3 linked regions of the Drosophila melanogaster genome follow. The protein of the gene in region 3 purifies or fractionates together with the protein of the main gene of each other region. This does not show direct contact. Each region holds a gene or a part of one and is shown on either strand. Other genes may lie near its edges.

The links.
Region 1: the proteins of Arpc1 (region 3) and Arpc4 purify together in Drosophila melanogaster (affinity purification with mass spectrometry, with the first as the bait; one large-scale study listed by BioGRID). This does not show direct contact.
Region 2: the proteins of Arpc1 (region 3) and CG8578 purify together in Drosophila melanogaster (affinity purification with mass spectrometry, with the first as the bait; one large-scale study listed by BioGRID). This does not show direct contact.

Annotation. Positions count from the first base shown.
Region 1 is NT_033779.5:6,122,333-6,126,889, reverse strand, and holds Arpc4 (Actin-related protein 2/3 complex, subunit 4), read right to left. Parts: upstream 1,759-4,557; 5' UTR 1,642-1,758; coding exon 1,135-1,641; intron 1,067-1,134; 3' UTR 979-1,066; downstream 1-978. Other genes in the region: WDR79 (WD repeat domain 79), read left to right, coding at 47-235, 295-958; stai (stathmin), read right to left, coding at 3,826-3,912, 4,037-4,192, 4,480-4,557.
Region 2 is NC_004354.4:15,842,585-15,849,766, forward strand, and holds CG8578 (uncharacterized protein), read left to right. Parts: upstream 1-1,891; 5' UTR 1,892-1,947; intron 1,948-2,052; exon of another isoform or gene 2,053-2,088; intron 2,089-2,742; 5' UTR 2,743-2,797; coding exon 2,798-2,884; intron 2,885-3,057; coding exon 3,058-3,342; intron 3,343-3,399; coding exon 3,400-3,763; intron 3,764-3,824; coding exon 3,825-3,983; intron 3,984-4,372; coding exon 4,373-4,557; intron 4,558-4,618; coding exon 4,619-4,729; 3' UTR 4,730-5,274; downstream 5,275-7,182. Other genes in the region: ArgRS (Arginyl-tRNA synthetase), read right to left, coding at 1-407, 471-800, 859-1,205, 1,269-1,397, 1,456-1,497; sun (stunted), read right to left, coding at 5,395-5,420, 6,302-6,432, 6,552-6,580.
Region 3 is NT_033779.5:13,827,441-13,832,745, forward strand, and holds Arpc1 (Actin-related protein 2/3 complex, subunit 1), read right to left. Parts: upstream 2,302-5,305; 5' UTR 2,270-2,301; exon of another isoform or gene 2,204-2,269; 5' UTR 1,979-2,203; coding exon 1,906-1,978; intron 1,837-1,905; coding exon 776-1,836; 3' UTR 501-775; downstream 1-500. Other genes in the region: PolG1 (DNA polymerase gamma subunit 1), read right to left, coding at 1-251; Orc5 (origin recognition complex subunit 5), read left to right, coding at 2,597-3,694, 3,748-4,032; PolG2 (DNA polymerase gamma subunit 2), read right to left, coding at 4,049-4,443, 4,498-5,188; GatC (Glutamyl-tRNA amidotransferase, subunit C), read right to left, coding at 5,185-5,305.

The sequences.
Region 1 (4,557 bases), 7.7 Mb from region 3:
CTCTCTGACGCTCTCCCCAATCTTATACCGTTCCCATTTCACGCAGGTGGCTGGCCACGCGGCAGCACGAACCCATACACATGTGGGATGCCTTCGACGGTTCCCTGCGATGCAGCTACAGTGGGTACGATGCCGTAGACGAAGTAATGGCGGCCATTTCCTTGGCCTTCTCCCATGACGGCGAGCAGATCTATGCGGGATACAAGCGCTGCATCAAGATCTTCGACACCAGCAGGTGAGTCGGCTGCTTATTTTCGTACGCTCATTTAATGCAACTCAAACTCTACTCCGTAGACCCGGACGTTTTTGCGACGATTACCCTGTCAAGTTTGCCATATCCTGCATTGCACAGACCACTGCGCACCCGCACACTCTAACCTGCGGCAACTGGCATGGCTACATCCAGCACTTTGACTTGCGGTGTAGCCACAAGCAGGGTCCTCTCTTCACGCTGGGAGGGCACAAGGGCGGCATCACACAACTGCGCTATGGAGAGTTTGGCAACGGGGAGTGGCATCTGTTCAGTGGAGCTCGCAAGTGCGATAAGATCTTGCAGTGGGACATGCGCAACTACAAGCAGCCACTGGTGGAGTTGCAGCGCCATGTGGACACCAATCAGCGTATTCAATTCGACCTCGCATCCGACAGCAATTGGCTGGCTAGCGGTGACACACGGGGATTCGTCAATGTTTGGGATCTCAAAAAATACGGAGATCCTTCCGTACTGCCCCTGCATTCAGACTGCTGCAACGGAGTGGCACTCAATCCGGCTATGCCGATTCTAGCCACCAGCTCGGGGCAGTTCCACTTTACAGACCAAAGTGCCCAAGGGGACAACGTGACCTTAAACGGAACGGAAACGACGGAGTTGCCGGCGCCGGCCGATGTGAATCAAAATCAGAAGGAAGTTCTCTACGAGAACGCAGTGGTCATGTGGTGGTGCGGCCAAACGGGATAGCATATAAAACTGGTGTAGTCGAGTAAATAATACAAAATCCGTCTTTATTCTTGAATCCATTTGGAAATACTAAAGCATCATGACCGGGTCCATACTGGTTGCCTTCACCTGCAAAGGATTTGCGAGAGTAAGTTGGCGTCGACTCAATGGCGATGGCTGTTAGGTGGAACACTTACCTAGAACCGTTTGAGGAACTCCTCGGCGCAGGTGCGTGCCCTGGCATTGACCGCCAGTTTCATTTCGCTGATCTCCTTGTCGATCTCCTCCATGAAGCTAATGACAAAGTCCACCAGTTTGTGCTTATACATCTGCTCCGTGTGGAAGTTGGTGATGAGGAAGCTTATGTCGTAGCCCTCGATGGGCTTGCGGCGCAGTATGACGAACGACTCGGCGCGTCGCATCATGAACCTGGTGAACTTGTGGCACAGTATGCGCTCAATCTCGTCGGCCTGCTTCACGGCGATGCTCACGCGCACCGAGTTAATGGACGGCTCGATCAGCACCTTCTCCCGCTCGTTGCGCGACACGACGACGGGCGTGAGCACCAGCTCCTTGCTGGAACAGATCTCCACCTCCGGCTTGTTGTGCCGCTCCACCACCTGCGAGGGGAAGTCCTGCAGGCACATCGCCGCCGTCAGCGAGTGTCGCACGGCGGTCAGGTAGGGCTTCAATGTGGCTGCCATTGTGTCTGGGTGTCGGGTTGTTGTCTGCTGCCTGCGGTTTGTTGTATCTGCACTTTTTACTTAACTTATTATGATTCACAGGCCCTGGAATTTATCAACCAGAAAAGATGTGACCATGCGCGGCTGGCAGGAAAATACCAATGCCGAGGTGGGGCCGCAAAAACATAGCAACTATTTGGAATTTGTTATGAAACAGTTTCTATTATATGTTTGGGAAGACTATGCATAAAGTTTATACAATCAATATTAAACATGTTGTTTTTAAACATTTATCAAATCGCACTTAAAACATTTCTTATGATGTCCTGTGTTAAGATGGTAAGAAACTTGACTATCAAGAACTTACCCGAGACCACAACCACTGTTCCATTTCCATTTGTATCTTATCTTTGTGGAATTTTTAGGAGTGAAACAATTTAAATCATACCTAAATTTTAAAAATTTAAGAAAAATGTATATGGCTAGAAGCGTTAAAATTTGAAATGGAAATATCAAATATATGTGTACCATATTAAAGTCCGAAAACCCAACACACCAGCAAAGAGGAAAAATGTTAATTTAGAAGAAAACAGCATCCACCAATTATAAATATTGCATTTATTTGTTTAATGCACTTTTATTATACAATTGTTATAAGTATTTTTGCTCGCATATGGTCAGTTATTTGTGGCTTATATGAACTTAAATTATGCGTGAACCTAGAAAGTGAGTATTTTAATCAATCGTTCAAAATTGTAACCCTTTCCTACTCTCAATACTCAAAAAATGTTTCGGCTGATTATTGCATTGGATTAGACATTAATATATCATAAATTGAGTAAATATCAAAGCATTTTATGCTTTGCGTTTATATTTTGTTCGTTTTTTCTTGAGTATGCTTGAAAGTTTTCGTGTCTGGGTAATTTGGTGTCCTGTGCGTGTTAAATTGTTTTGCCAATGCACATTTTTATTAAGAGATTTATGTTATTGATATTCATTTGTAGAAGCCATAGGTTTACACGAGTACACATACATATATAACGATATAAGATTTAAATTTAAGCTAATCTTTAAAGCGCCCTTTGGTGCAAAATTAAAAATAACTCGCAGGTTTTTGGAAAAAATTTTCCTAAATATTCCATTTGGTTTGCCCTAAATACTTTTTTTTTTTTTTATTATAACCCCCACATTCACTCTCCTCTTAAACCCATTTCTAAAAATAACCCGACGTTAGACAAAATATGCATTTCCATATAATATTACACACATTAATGTATGCTTATACGTAGTTTCCTTCCATTTATATTAATGTCTATATCAGCGTTTTTAGTGTTTGTGTTGTATGTAAATAAAGGAAAAATGCGTTTCGTGTGTTTTACATGGTATTTGATTTTATTGAATTGTATAAGCATTTCTTATGTATTTTTTCTGTTAGACATTTATTTTATAGATAGAAAATGCGAAACTTATAAGAACAAATTATTTGTTAGTGTAAAACTATATTCAGCATGTATATGTATCATGTTGTTGCAAGTTAGTAAATTAAAATTACCACTAAAGTATACATTAACTTAATTAAAAACATTTTCAAATTTTTACTCGCGAAAGCCATTCATAGATGCAAATACAGCGTGCTTATTATTTTGAGAATACCTCAGTCGATGCCACAGTAATTAAAAAAAAAAAAAAACTTGAACATTCAAGACTAAGACTTTGAAAATAATGAATCCAAAACGAATATAACATTCTTGGAACTCAAGGTAAAAAGTGTTTTAAACTTTCAACTGAAATCAACGTGAACTTTTAAAAGAATTTGAAATTTTAAATGACAGGCATGCATTCAACTTGCATAGGCTTTTCTGCCTGGGCTTTTAAGTTTAAATGTAGATTTCCTTTACTAATTTTTTTTTTGCATTAACTTGCCGTAAGCATTCATTTCTTTTCGCTTTATAGTAGCTTATTCGTGTTTCATTATAGAGCTCGTGAGAAAACTCGCTCAGCGGTATCTTGAGACTTTGCCCTTGCCCTTCGCTTCGTTTGCTTTCATAATACTTGGAAATTTTGAGAAATCGTTTTCAGTTTTAAGGGTTTTCTTGCTTAAATATGTGTTGGTGTATTATGCAGTGTTGCTGTTCTTTTTGTAGTCGCCTTGTAACCATGTTTGCAGTGGGTGAGCACAGCTCTCGATGCAGGATCGTTCTCCACTTAGCCTGAGGAGGCAATGGCGCTCTGCTGACCATCCAAATCCTGGGCCTGGGCCTTGTTCTGGCGCACGAGCTCAGCGCGACGTTCCTGAAAGAAAGGAAAGCAATCAAGGATTAATATTCGTTTGCGAATGGAGATGTGCAACTACTGCCAAGTGCTACTCAAACAATAGGGCAAATTGTCGCTTTCAGTGGGGGGGAACAACACGTACGAGTTTTTGAACTTTTTCAATTTTTTTTTGCAATTCCTTTTCGCGTTTCTGCTCGGCGGCGAACAATTTGTTCTCATAAATGCGCGCTTTCTCCTCGATCTTTTGACATTCCAATTGATCGTTCTGCGATTTGATTTCGGCAATTTTGATTGTGTTCTAAATGAGAGGATATAAGAGAAATGAAAAACCAAAATTATATGAACGCATGATAACTTATTTATAGTTCGTACACTCAATGACTAACTAAATGTTAACCAGTTTGCTAGTCCAGTCAAAATGATGTGTCATTTCAATTTTATATTCCAGCAATGAATGTAAGTTAATGTAATGTTTATAAAGTAATTGTTGAGACTTATGGGATCTTGGGTATTGAATATTATAATTACATACATCTAATCATAAACTAGATTTAATGAAAACTTTTGGCCATGCTATAGACTCACATGCTCCTTTAGGCGATCCAACATTTTCTTGATATTCTCATCGCGAAGAGACTGAGCAATCTTCAACTTTTCCTCGAT
Region 2 (7,182 bases), on a different chromosome or scaffold from region 3:
TTTGGCCGGAGTCGACCACATAGATGATCCAATCGCAAAGCTCCTCCTCCAAGCGATGGCGAATGGCTGCCATGTCAGAGGTATCATAGGTAAAGCCGCCATCCGATTTCACGATTGTCAGAGGTATGCCAGTTTTCGTATCGTCTGGCCACATGATCTCGCGTCCTTCATCCACTTCCAGCAGACCCTTGCCTCGCAAGTATTCCACAACGGACAGCATACGTGATTGGTAGAACGATTCCCCCCGTTCCTTGACGCTAATATCTAATCGTTCGTAGATCGTTTGGAACTCCTTTCGCGACACATTGCAAATTAGCTCCCACGCCTTAATGGAGTTCGGCACACCTTTCTGCAATGAAACCACTCGACTGTAGGCACGTTTTTTGAACTCCTCATCTTCATCGAATCTGCAAGGAAGTATTATTTACCTCGAGCACATCGTAATTACTTCGTAATGTTACAAGTCTTACCGCTTCTTGGATTCCTTGTAGAACAATTGCAGATCACTGATCGGAGGGCTTTCATTTAGGTAGTTGGGGAAACGATCTTCCAAATGGGCAATCAGCATGCCAAACTGTGTTCCCCAGTCACCCAGGTGGTTGATGCGGATCACATCGTGCTGCAGGAACTCCAGCAAGCGGCATAACGACTCGCCAATGATCGTGGACCGCAAGTGACCGACATGCATCTGTTTGGCAATGTTGGGCGATGAAAAGTCGACCAGGACTCGCTTTTTGATCACTTCTGGCGGCTTGACACCGTTACGCAATAGATTGCTTAAGGCTAAAGATGCATAATCTCTGCAAAAATTAACATTTTTAATGTTTATAATGGACTTTGTGTACTTATGCCACTCACTTGCTAAGGAACACGTTTACGAAGCCAGCTCCGGCAATTTCCAGCTTTTCAATGATTGGTGATGCTGGGCAGTGTCCTTTCAACTCGGTTGCAATATCACGTGGTGCTTTATTAATGCCCTTCTCTTTCAGCTTCTTGGACAATCCCATGGCATTGTTGCACTGATAGTCGCCGAATTTCGCAGACGTACTATTAACTGGTGCAATTATAACAGGCGTATCTCTGAATTCCGGGAAAGCTGATGCAATCGCCTGGCGAAAGACGCTTTCCAGGTGTTCGGTGATCGAAGAGGATTCCTTGGGCTTCGAAACGTCGCCGCCGGCGGCAGTTGATTCCTCAGCAATGGACTAACAGGGAAATAAAAGACATGAAATTCTTAAGCTTAAACACATTGGGGGTCATAAACTCACCTTCTTTAGGATAAACAGGCGGTTCTTCAGCTTCTTATTTTCAATTTGAAGCTGAACAAGATCGACGTCCAACTGTTCACCGCTTTTGGCAGTTTGTATTCTGGCGGCAAGGCCTTGGGTCTTCAGTTCCTTTAAAGCCGGCATGTCATGTCAAAATGTTGGCGTAAAGTAACAGCTATTCGCTTACCAGCTCCCTGAGTTTTTTCAGCTCCATATTTAGCTCGGACATGTTTCCAAATTGTGACTTCTGTTGCTCCGCTGATTAATAACAACAACACAACGATGCCACATGGATGGCAAGTAGTGTGCACACGTCGCCTATCGATAACGATAACAGCTGGTGATGTCACGCCTCACAGTCACTTCTAGGATGTCGTTTTTCCCACTGGCATTTAAAAGATTTTCTCATTTGACAGTTAAACTATGCAACAGACAAATTGTATTGTGTGTGCATTTTAAAATCACCTCTAAAATTGTAGATGTCGGTATGTATGGCAGGCTTTTTATGGCACATTTGAGAGCATTGCTTAGATAAATGTCAGCTGTGTGCGGTGGAAAAATCGCATCGGGTTCACATAGCACTTATGATTTTTATCGATAGATCGACTTATCGACCACCTCTATTATGATTAATTGTGATTGTTCTTTCGCTTAAGGTGTCTCTTAAAACTTTTTATGTGTATGTGTGTTTAATTAATTTATAGATTTTGTCACCTTTGTGTAAATACCTATAGTCTAGTGGGGCCGCAACCTAAACTCTTTGATGTGTGCTACACACAGTCCCCGAAAGATACGTGCGTGAAAACTTGGGAAAACAGATGTGTGTAACGCCGCTCCCATTAAAATTAAAACTGCAATGCAGACGGTTTTTTTTTGTTTTACAAATATAAATAGTGGATAAAAACATATTCACCGGGAACGACGGACGGATACATCCTATTTATAAACAGGAGATAAACTAGTTTTCTTGCATCTGTGCCACCAAATTGCCAAGTGTCGATGGGGAATTTGTAAAAGTTAAAAAAGAAAAAACCATTATGCAGCGCAATGCAAAAAAAAAGTTTACTTTATTTTCATCATCTGATACGCATTTTATCTGCATGTTCGCTTGCTTGGTGACAATGGGACTATATATTCACCGGTTTTTATATAAGTGAGTCAGCTCTGCTAGATAACAAAGTGCGTTCCGATGATAAGGTATCCATTATCATACCACACACGATCATCAATTAGGACATTCCAAAATGTTTACCAATATAGGAGGTTTCAACGAGCTGGACACCGAAAGAGCAGCACCAGAAATGCTGTCTCTGCAATTATTATATTTATTTATAAGTTAGTGGCTGAATTCAATGGACTTTTCTTTGGAATTATCGCAATATGATCCTTGTTATCACTTTCAATGGGTTCAAATCGAAACTGAATTCTTAGTGCATTCTTATAGACTTGAAACTAACAAGTTGCTTCTTTTTAGCGTGCGATCGCTTGCGATTAATATATAAAATATAGTTAAATTGAGCACAGATTCAATGGAAAGTATCAGCACCACAGGTCGGCGACGGAACAACATGCGAATCAATGCCGAAGACAATGCGCTGGATCAAATTACGAAAGAGGTGTGTATTTTACATCCCAAAACATAGCATTCAATGTAAATATTAAAATTGTTACTATCAACTGCGATTTGTACGTGCTCGGTTAACACAAGAGAATTACAGCCGCAAAGGGTCGCATAATTGAAACTCTATCAATTAGTTGATTTAAATGAAACTGATTCCCTTCTTTTCAGGCGGAAGCGCGACTTGCTGCGCGTCGACAGGCGCGCGCCGAAGCCCGCGAGATTCGCATGAGGGAGCTGGAGCGGCAGCAGAAAGAGCAGGAGATCACCGCCGACCGGGTCTTCGACATGCAAAACTCCACGGCAGTGGGCAGCGAAACTCTGTCGGCGCATCCCGTGCGCCTCGCCTACGGCGGACTGTTAAACGTGACCCGTGCATCAGCATCCCGCCGCAGCAGTGAGGACTCCGTGGAGGAGGAGGGCAGAAGTTTTCGCGACTTCAAGCACGAGCTTAAGGTGGGTGCTGACATCGCAGCCATCACTTCGATGTGATTTAAGTGGTTCTGCTTTCAGGATGTTGAGGAGCGGTTTCGCAAAGCCATGATAACGAACGCCCAGTTGGACAACGATCGCGCCTCGCAGGCCTACGAAGTCAAGCTACTGAAGGACAAATGCGAAATAATGGAAGAGTCGTATGCACAACTACAGCGCGAGTTCAAGGAGAAGATGCGTGACTGCAATGCCCTCAAACGCAACCTGGATCGCGCCAATCTCGAGCTTAAGCTAGTACAAGGGCAGTTAAACGAGCGCGACTCGTTGATCGCCGAACAGGGCCTTCTAATTGTAGCAGTTGAAAATGCCGATGGCAGCGATGCCAAGCGAGCTCTAGTGAGTGTCGAGAATGCCAAGGTGCTGGCCTCCGTGCAGGGTTCTTTAGGTGATTATCCCCCATTTGCACCTGGATGAGATCATTTAACAACAGTTCGAGTTCTTTGCAGACGTTAGACTTAAAAAGTTCAGTGACGAGAAGCAGCGGCTGCTGGCGGAGGTGCAGAAGCTTCACGAACAACTTGACGAGTATAAAAGTGATGGAATTTCCGGACGCCGCAGTCTTTCGCAAGGTTCCTTCGGCGATGAGAATGATTACGAGGCCCAACGTACGTGTACCATACTTACTTAATGCCAACTAAACTTTCAGCATGTAAAGTGCACCGCAGTGATTATCTTTTTTATAACTAGCAGCCCTTTTTGGCAGCACACAATAACTAACCGAGTCTTGCTCAAATTTGAACGATATTCAAATCGTATTATTTGTAGTTTTTATTATTTGATAACATGGCTTCAAGCAATATATATATATATATATATCATTTATATTTCCGATCGCATTGATCGGCCACATTCTCTCGCACTTTTGTGTATCTCCATATATCTTCAGTTTTTTAAAACAATAAATTGTATATAACTATTGCAGTTTGGCACTATAGGACTGCAACATATTTGTACTATATTACGAGCCCTTCCTTTTTCTTATACTATCCGACAGGGGAAACAAACAAAATCATTTCAGACCATAAATATAAGCTGCAAAAGGCGGAACAGGAAATCGCCAACCTACAGTCGAGCCTAGCGCGCTCCGAAACTCAAGTAATCCGATACAAAAGCACCGCAGAAGCTGCCGAAAAGGCGGAGGCTGAGCTGAAGCTGGAGCGCCGCAAGCTGCAACGCGAGGTGAGTGGTGGGAATGCCAAGCGAAATGAGCAGTTTATGATCTAGCTAATCCATTTCGCAGCACCGGGAACTCTTGGAGAAGTTGGAGGAAGCTGAAACGTCCAACAACCATTTGTTGAAACGCCTCGATAAGTTGAAAAACGCAAAGAGTGCCATTCTAAAGGACTTATGATCTAAGATGGGAAATGCAATCTCGCCAACCATTGAAGGATCGCACCCGATGACATAGGAAACGCAAGTACACGACATCATCAACACACAAATCAACATGCTGCAATTGAAATAGCACTTCGGTAGCAATTTAATCGGTCTTAGTGGTAGCAAATCGATAATTTTTGAAGGATAATCCAAAATACTCTACCTTAAAAATATATATATATATATATTTAAATTAAAATATAAACTAACTGGATAATAATTAACATAAATAATGTCTATATGTGTATATTTAAAGCGCAAAATATAAGTAACAATTCAATTGGTTCAGCATTATGTGTATAAAATCATTCTATACAAATATGCGTTGACAAAATTATAGCAAGAAACCTATCACTGATCCCAATTAAAAGGCTTCTGGTGAACCTGACCAATAGTTCTTTTCAAAATTACAATATTCTATTGAGTCTATATTTAAATCTTTGCTAGAAGTCCGTTTCATCGGTCGCGATCTCTAAACGGAACGCCCAAATAAATGCCACATTTAAGAACAATTAAAATCATCGTGTTTAAATAAATTACATTTATTTAATTTTATTTATTTTTCATGATTTTACAACATTGCAGCTTCGGCGGATCTTAGTTGTTGCGAATCATTCTCGAGTGGCCACTGAAAAGCATCTAGGATTCCGATTGGGTTTGACGCTCTGCGGACAGAAAAATGGCAATAATCAGCATTTGCTTTGGATAATAGTTTTTCATCACAAAGAAATAGTTAATAGTTGGTCGCTTGTAAACTTTTGGGGCGGGCAATTTTGGGATATATATATGTATATTAATATAAACATTATATTATATGTAAACACATCGCATTTGCATGCAGATCAGCTTGTAAGCGTAGTTAGAAACTTTGGGAACAAAGTTAGATACATAAACTGTCGTTGAGTTTAATGCGAACGCTGGGATAATTTGGGTTTTGTCTGCCGCGGCAGGCACTTACGCCAGTTTTTAAATTATTAATTTGACGATGGAACACCTAAGCCCTTTCATCTGAAAAATATATTCAAATATGACGCAATATGAAACATAAATTCTATTACTTTATGGAGCGTTTGTCTTGAAGGAATGGTAAGCAATTTTGCCTAATTTTGTTTCGATATTCCAATAAGTTACGAAAATTTTGAAATTAAAGTTTTAGAAATGGTTTGGATGAGTATGAACGCTTCAATGTTGATGATCAGGATTTAAACAGATTGCAAATATATATGATATATGCAATAATATACGAATATCTATAGATGGGAACAGTTTTTACACGCGATATTACGCCTGTAAATTGGCAACATTTTCGGAGTAAAGTGGGAACACGAGTGAACCGTTCATTTTTCGGTATTTTTCACATTGCCATTTCGAAACGGGGCTTTTTTCCGAAACTTTTGGGTAGAATACCGTGTGGAAACCACTTGTGGATGACTTCGAAACATTCCTAATAACACATTGATAACGGTTTCCCCTTGGATTTCGAATTATCCGGAGTTAATTTATATAATGGCTGCTATTTGGCCGTCTAAAGTATTATGATACGTACGAGCTGGCTTGCCATTTGCCCAGGGAGTGAACTTCACATGGCTCGCGTCGCGCTTGGCGGCATCCGCACGCAGTCCCGTCTTCAAGGACTCGCGCAAAATGCGAGCGGCGATGTTGGAGTATTGGATGTAGCTGCAATCGGTAATATTTGGATTAATTATGTTATGTAATCGGGCAGCAAAGGCGTTTTTATTTGCATGAGAATGCTGCCACAACACAGCTGGTGTGGCAGGCACTTATACAATGCTTACGTAATTCCGGCAGCTCTCCAGGCAGTCATTGTGATCGGTTTATTCGAAATATATTCACGCTACACAAAAAATATATAAGATATTCCCTTTCTGAATCCGGTCAGTGTGGCCAACTAGTTTTTGAGAGTTAAGTCAGAAATATACCGTCGATTGTCGCACATATACCTTAAATACTAGCTTACGCGCGTCAAGATAGCGACGACGACTGTGACTTCTGTTATTGAACATACACACTGTTAGTAACATTTGTTATCGATATCCAAACTCAAACTTTTCAATATTTAAAAATCTAATTTACTTATTTTTCTTCCTTTGGGAAAAACCCTAATAAATATGGATATGCCAAACTGTTTTATTCGAAAGAACGAAGCTTGTTACTTATTCATGCCTACACAAATAATTAAGCAGACATTGTTTAACGTGCCTTGCATAAAGCATTTCAAGAAAAATTGTTACATTAAACCATCAACTTAAAAAAAATATTCCCCAATTTTCCTTGAAATTTGTTTTTAGTTCTAGGCTAATTAATCAAATAACCACCAATGCACCCAAAATAGGATAAGCTAAGGATATATTAGATTATTTATTTATCATTGACTTTAAGTTAGACTTTACAGATAATATTTTAAAA
Region 3 (5,305 bases):
GAGGCCACCTGCTGCTCCGAAATGCTTCGCGGCGCTTGTGGGAACAGTTGGGCGTGCAAATTCCGCGAGATCATCTGCACCTTGACCAGATTTTCCGCATATTCCGTTGGGCCATTCTCCACATTCTCCGGCTTCTTTGGTTTGTTTACCTTTTGCGGAGGCTTGACCCGCCGAAAGATCTTCACGCTACTGCTGGCGTAGTGCTCCCGGCTAACTTTGCTGGCGTACTTTCTGATCAGGTGGAACTGCATCCTCGTTTTAATAAAGGAAACATCCTTTAAGGCAACTGAAGTCCAACCTGCGACCACACACTCCTCCGTAAGATTGCCGCCAGCCTAGGTATTTTTGTGCGCTTGCGCGGCGGTCACATTGATTTAATTCAAATTTATTTCCGTTAAATTAATAATAAATAAATATAAAACATTTTCAAAAAATTCCAACAAATCAAATTTCTTGCTGCTTGAAACGATTAATTATTAAAAAACAAACACTTAACATTTGATTTTACGAATAAAAAACATTTTATTCAGTTTGCTATAAAGGTGAAACACTTTAAAACACACACACACTTTCGGAACCATTATGGAAGTTGGTGGGGGGGGGGGGGGGGAAAGAACAATCTCTTCGGTTAATTTATGTAAAAAGGCTTTCGCACGGTACAGAACAATGGGAAAAGCGATTTTGGAAAACATTTTGGCAAATACTTCGCTCCTGGCCAGGCCAACACACTCGCTAACAGACAATAACACGTAACGCTGGTCCGTTCCGGGCCGCACTAGATCTGCAGGTTGCGCATGCCGCCATTGATGCCGCCCTGCTCCACATTCCAAATGACCAGCTGCCCGTCGACGCCCGAGGTGGACACCTTGGTGGCGCTCGCCTTGTCGCCGGCATACAGTCGCACGCTGGTGATGGCGTTCTGATGTATGGAATCGACCACCGTGTCCGTGTTCTCCGTGCGCATGTTGCGGTCCATCGACTGAAAGATTCTCATGGCGGTAATGCCGCTCGACTCCTTCTTCTGCGACTTATCGAGCTTGCCGCTCAGCACCAGCTTTCCATCGGCAGTCAGACTGTAGAGCAGTGGCACACAGCTATAGCCGGCCACCACGACGGACGTGGGCGAGACCCATTCGCATGACAGGAAGGGCAGATAGCCGGTGCGGCATCGAATGACCGTATTGCCATTGGTAGCGTCCGCGATGCTCACGCAGCTGTCGTGGCCCACCCAGCAGACCTTGTTACCGTCGCTGGAGAAGCTCACGCTGTTAATCCAGCCGCCACCCGAGGTCTGCGAGTTGCGGAACTCGGCCATTAGCTGGCCAAGGGGCTTGCGATTGCCCCACGGCGTCGGCGTCGGTGGCTCCTCGATGTCCTTGATGAAGGCCGAGAAAACGCGCACCTTGTAGTCCGTGGAGCCGGCCAGCAGCAGAACGTTGTTCGGATGCCAGTCCAGCGAAGTGACCGTAGAGCGGATCGGCTTCTTGATGTGCTTCGACACCCACCAGTCGTTCTCCGACTCGAAATAGCACACGGATATGAGTCGGGCGCCCGAACCCACAGCGAACTTGTTCTCCGCCGGCGACCACTTGACGCAGGTTGCCGCCCGATTGATGCGCAGCAGCACCAACGCCGGCTTCCACTTGCCATCGTCGCCCTGCGTCCACACATAGGCATTACGGTCGGCGGCACAGCTCACAATCCGATTGGTGTTCTTGGCCCAGTCGATGCCCATGACGCGCAGATCGTGCTGGTTGAGCACGTCCGCCAGCTTCCAGTCGCTGCCCTCCCGGCTGTATATGTGGATCTCATGGTTGTTGGGCGATAAGGCAATCTCTGCGAATTTTTGGGAGTGGGTGGTGGTGAGTCACACTGTGCCGGATGAGTAATTTGGGTCGCACTTACGGGTTCGATCCTTGTTCCATGCGTGGCAGGTGATGGAGGCCAGCGAGGTGCCAAAGGTGTATGTCTCGGCCATCGTGGGTGGCTAAATGCGCTCGGAATGTGCAGTGTTCGCTCGTCCAAATCCAACCACACGCGTAGTTTCTTCGGTTCGGTTCGCCGGATTTTCGGATTTTGGATATCGCTGTGTAGCAATTGGGCGTTGTTTCCGCTGGATTTTAGCTTCGCTCTCGTTTTAATCGCGGACTCTGGGCCGTCAACACGATTAAGCTGGCGTTGCTGGGATGGATTCTGGCTTTGCCTGGGCCGGAAGAGTAGAGCGTTGTGGAAAAAACTCTTTGGAAAAGTAATGCACAAAATTAATCACCCGAAATTAGAGCTGGAACAAAAATCGATGGCCCTCAATACTATCGTTATTTCGTTATATCGATATTTTTCGATTGTTTGAAAAATGCTAAGGTACCAGTGCTGTTACGCACGTTCGGTATATACCAGAGGGAATAATTTGGCGCCATTTCAATGGTCACACTAAACAGAAACCATTTCTTGTAAACAAATTTTTAATAACTGGCTGGCTCGTAATTTATTTTTGTTATTTTATAAACCGAGGAAGTATTTTCCCTTTTGAAAGCCCGTTTAAATAACACCACTTCGCCTGTGGGTAGCTGAGGAAACTTAAAAGCAGACGACAGCTATGGAAGCCATCTGCTCCTCCTTGGAGCCGCTGTTTCCCTGTCGGGAGGCGGCCATTGAAACGCTGGGCGAGCTGATAGGAGATTCGAGTGAGACATATCCCTCGGCAATTTACCTATTCGGACACAGTGGAACCGGCAAAACAGCTCTGACCAGAGCTTTCCTCAAAGAATGTGGAAAACGGCAAAATGTCCGCACAGCGCATTTAAATGCCATCGAATGCTACACCACCAAGATAATGCTGGAGATCCTGTTAGACTCGCTGGCACCCGATCAAGGTGATGCGCTGAAGGTCGACAACATGCTGGACTTTGTGGAGCAGCTGCGTCGGCAGGCCGCTACACGCGTGGAGGATCAGGGATTTCTCATAGCCGTGGATAACGCGGAAAGGCTGCGCGACATGGATGCCAATGTGTTGCCCGTTCTTCTCCGACTGCAGGAGCTGACCAACCTGAATCTGTGCGTTATTCTGCTCTCCCAGCTGCCCTTTGAGAAGTTCTACAACAAGACCGGACTTAGTGAAATCGTCTGCCTGCACTTGGCGCAGTACAACAAGGCGGAGACACAGCGCATCCTGGGATCTGACTTTCAGCAGGTGCGAAATCAACTGCTGGAACAGTTCGCCCAGGATAAGAAGCGTCTGGAGATTTGCCAGGAAGCCGTAACTGAAGACTTCTACAACAACTATCTGAATCTCTTTCTGAGCGTCTTTTACAAAGCCTGTCGCGATGTTCCAGAGCTCCAGCTGACCGCCAGGAAGTGTCTGTCCACATACTTGGAGCCTGTACTCGACGGCACTGTGGATGCCACGGACATCTCCCGGCTTTGGCGGCATATAGCTGGACCACTGCGTTCCGCCTTAACCCAGATTTATATGCGAATTGAAAAACCCGCGGAAGAAGTTGAAGATTTCACCGCCATAGAAGATCAGAGCGTTCGCAAGCTGGCGCAGTCGCTGGAGCTGCCCTACTATGCCAAATTTCTGTTGATCGCTGCCTTCTTAGCCAGCCACAATGCCGCCAAGCAGGACAAGCGATTGTTCGTCAAGCACCATGGAAAACAGCGAAAGCGGATGCAGACGGTCAACGCCAGAGCCAAGGTGGGTTATTCAATTTTTCGATGACTCCATTTGCTTATTTTAATACCTTTTAGACCACGGAGAAAATGTCCACCACTTTGGGACCCAAATCCTTTAGCATCGATCGTTTGCTGGCCATTTTCTACGCCATTCTAGAGGAGAAAGTCGGTCTGACCTGCAACCTTCTCTCCCAGATCTCAACTTTGGTGCACCTCAATCTACTAAGCTTCGTCTCCGGCGAACAAAACATAATGGAAGGTTCCGCTAGGCTGCAGTGCACCATTGGCTTGGAGTTTGTCCTGCAGATTGGCAAGGTGGTGGGCTTTAATGTCCGCCAATATCTCTGCGACTTTATGTAGCCCCTGGTTGTTTTTTTTAGTTTTTAAATATATTTAATAAATAGTCCGGTACATCGCTTATGTGTATGGTCTCCGCCAGCCTTGTGTCCCGGCTGCGCAACTGCATCAGTCCGTTTCTTAGCGTTTGCTCGTTTATAACAAGTGTATAAGGTATGCCGAGCATATCCGTTTCCAGCAAGTGCTCTGCTAAATGAGAAGCGTTCTTCGTCGTACGAATTCCATCCCCTTCAGAAAGTCTAAGACCGGCGTGGTTGAGAACATGTTTCAGATGCTGACAAAGATCAGACAAGTCAGCAGATAGCTCGGAATCACTTTCCACACAGGCAATTCCACATTGATATGGCGCCAGAACGCGGTGTAAGAGCAGGGATTGCGAGTCCCGGCCATGATCACAGCCATCCAGAAGCAGAGCTAAAGGATAATAATATAGAAAGATTTTCAAAGATAGTTATGATGACCACTTACCGCAGGTGGTAGTTTCCAGCTCTATCACAGACCTTATGACAGTCGGTTGCACAATTTCACCCGTTCGCGCATCGGGCAGCCGGAAGTCTTTGTCGTCCACTATTCTCACCAGGCTCAGTTGCTCCACGGTCACTTCTCCTGCATCACCGTAGCTCGTGCGGATATCGATGGCTTGATAGTCGTTGGGATTGAGATCCTCAGCCAAATCGCAAGGTACGATGCGGTAGCGACTGGGATTCGAGGAAAGACGCATCCACCAGATCTTGCTCTCACGCTGCATGTTGTAGAAGTGCTCCAGTGCGCGATGTGGTTCCACTAGGAAGTCCGTGGTTAAATGTAGCGTAGGACCCTTTATCCCAAATAGGGAATTGCTAGTGGGACCAGAACAAGTGCTTTGATGTTTCAGAAGAGTGGGACATTTGGCCTTTCGAGGATGATCTTTGACGAGTTTTTGGAAATTGTTACGGAATTGCTGGCTTTGTGGAAAGGAAAAACGCTGGATGTTGACTGGATTTATGGGTTCTTTCGTGGCGCCCAGGTGCGCAGCCAAGGGACGTAGTCGTGTCCAATGCTGTTGCAACAGTTTGGCGTATTCCCTTCCATGACTCAGTAGCTCCAGTTTATTGTCTTCCACGGTGCGAAAGAAGCCAGCGGAAGCCAGGGACTTAAAGCATCGTTGTATGCGACTCATTGCTCCAGCGGAATGTTGCCCGGCGGCGAAACGAAGTAGTCCTCGTCCGTCACCTTGGCGTTCCGGAGCACCTCCGCCCGGCAATCGCCTTCGGTCACCTGGTCGTTGCGTAACTGG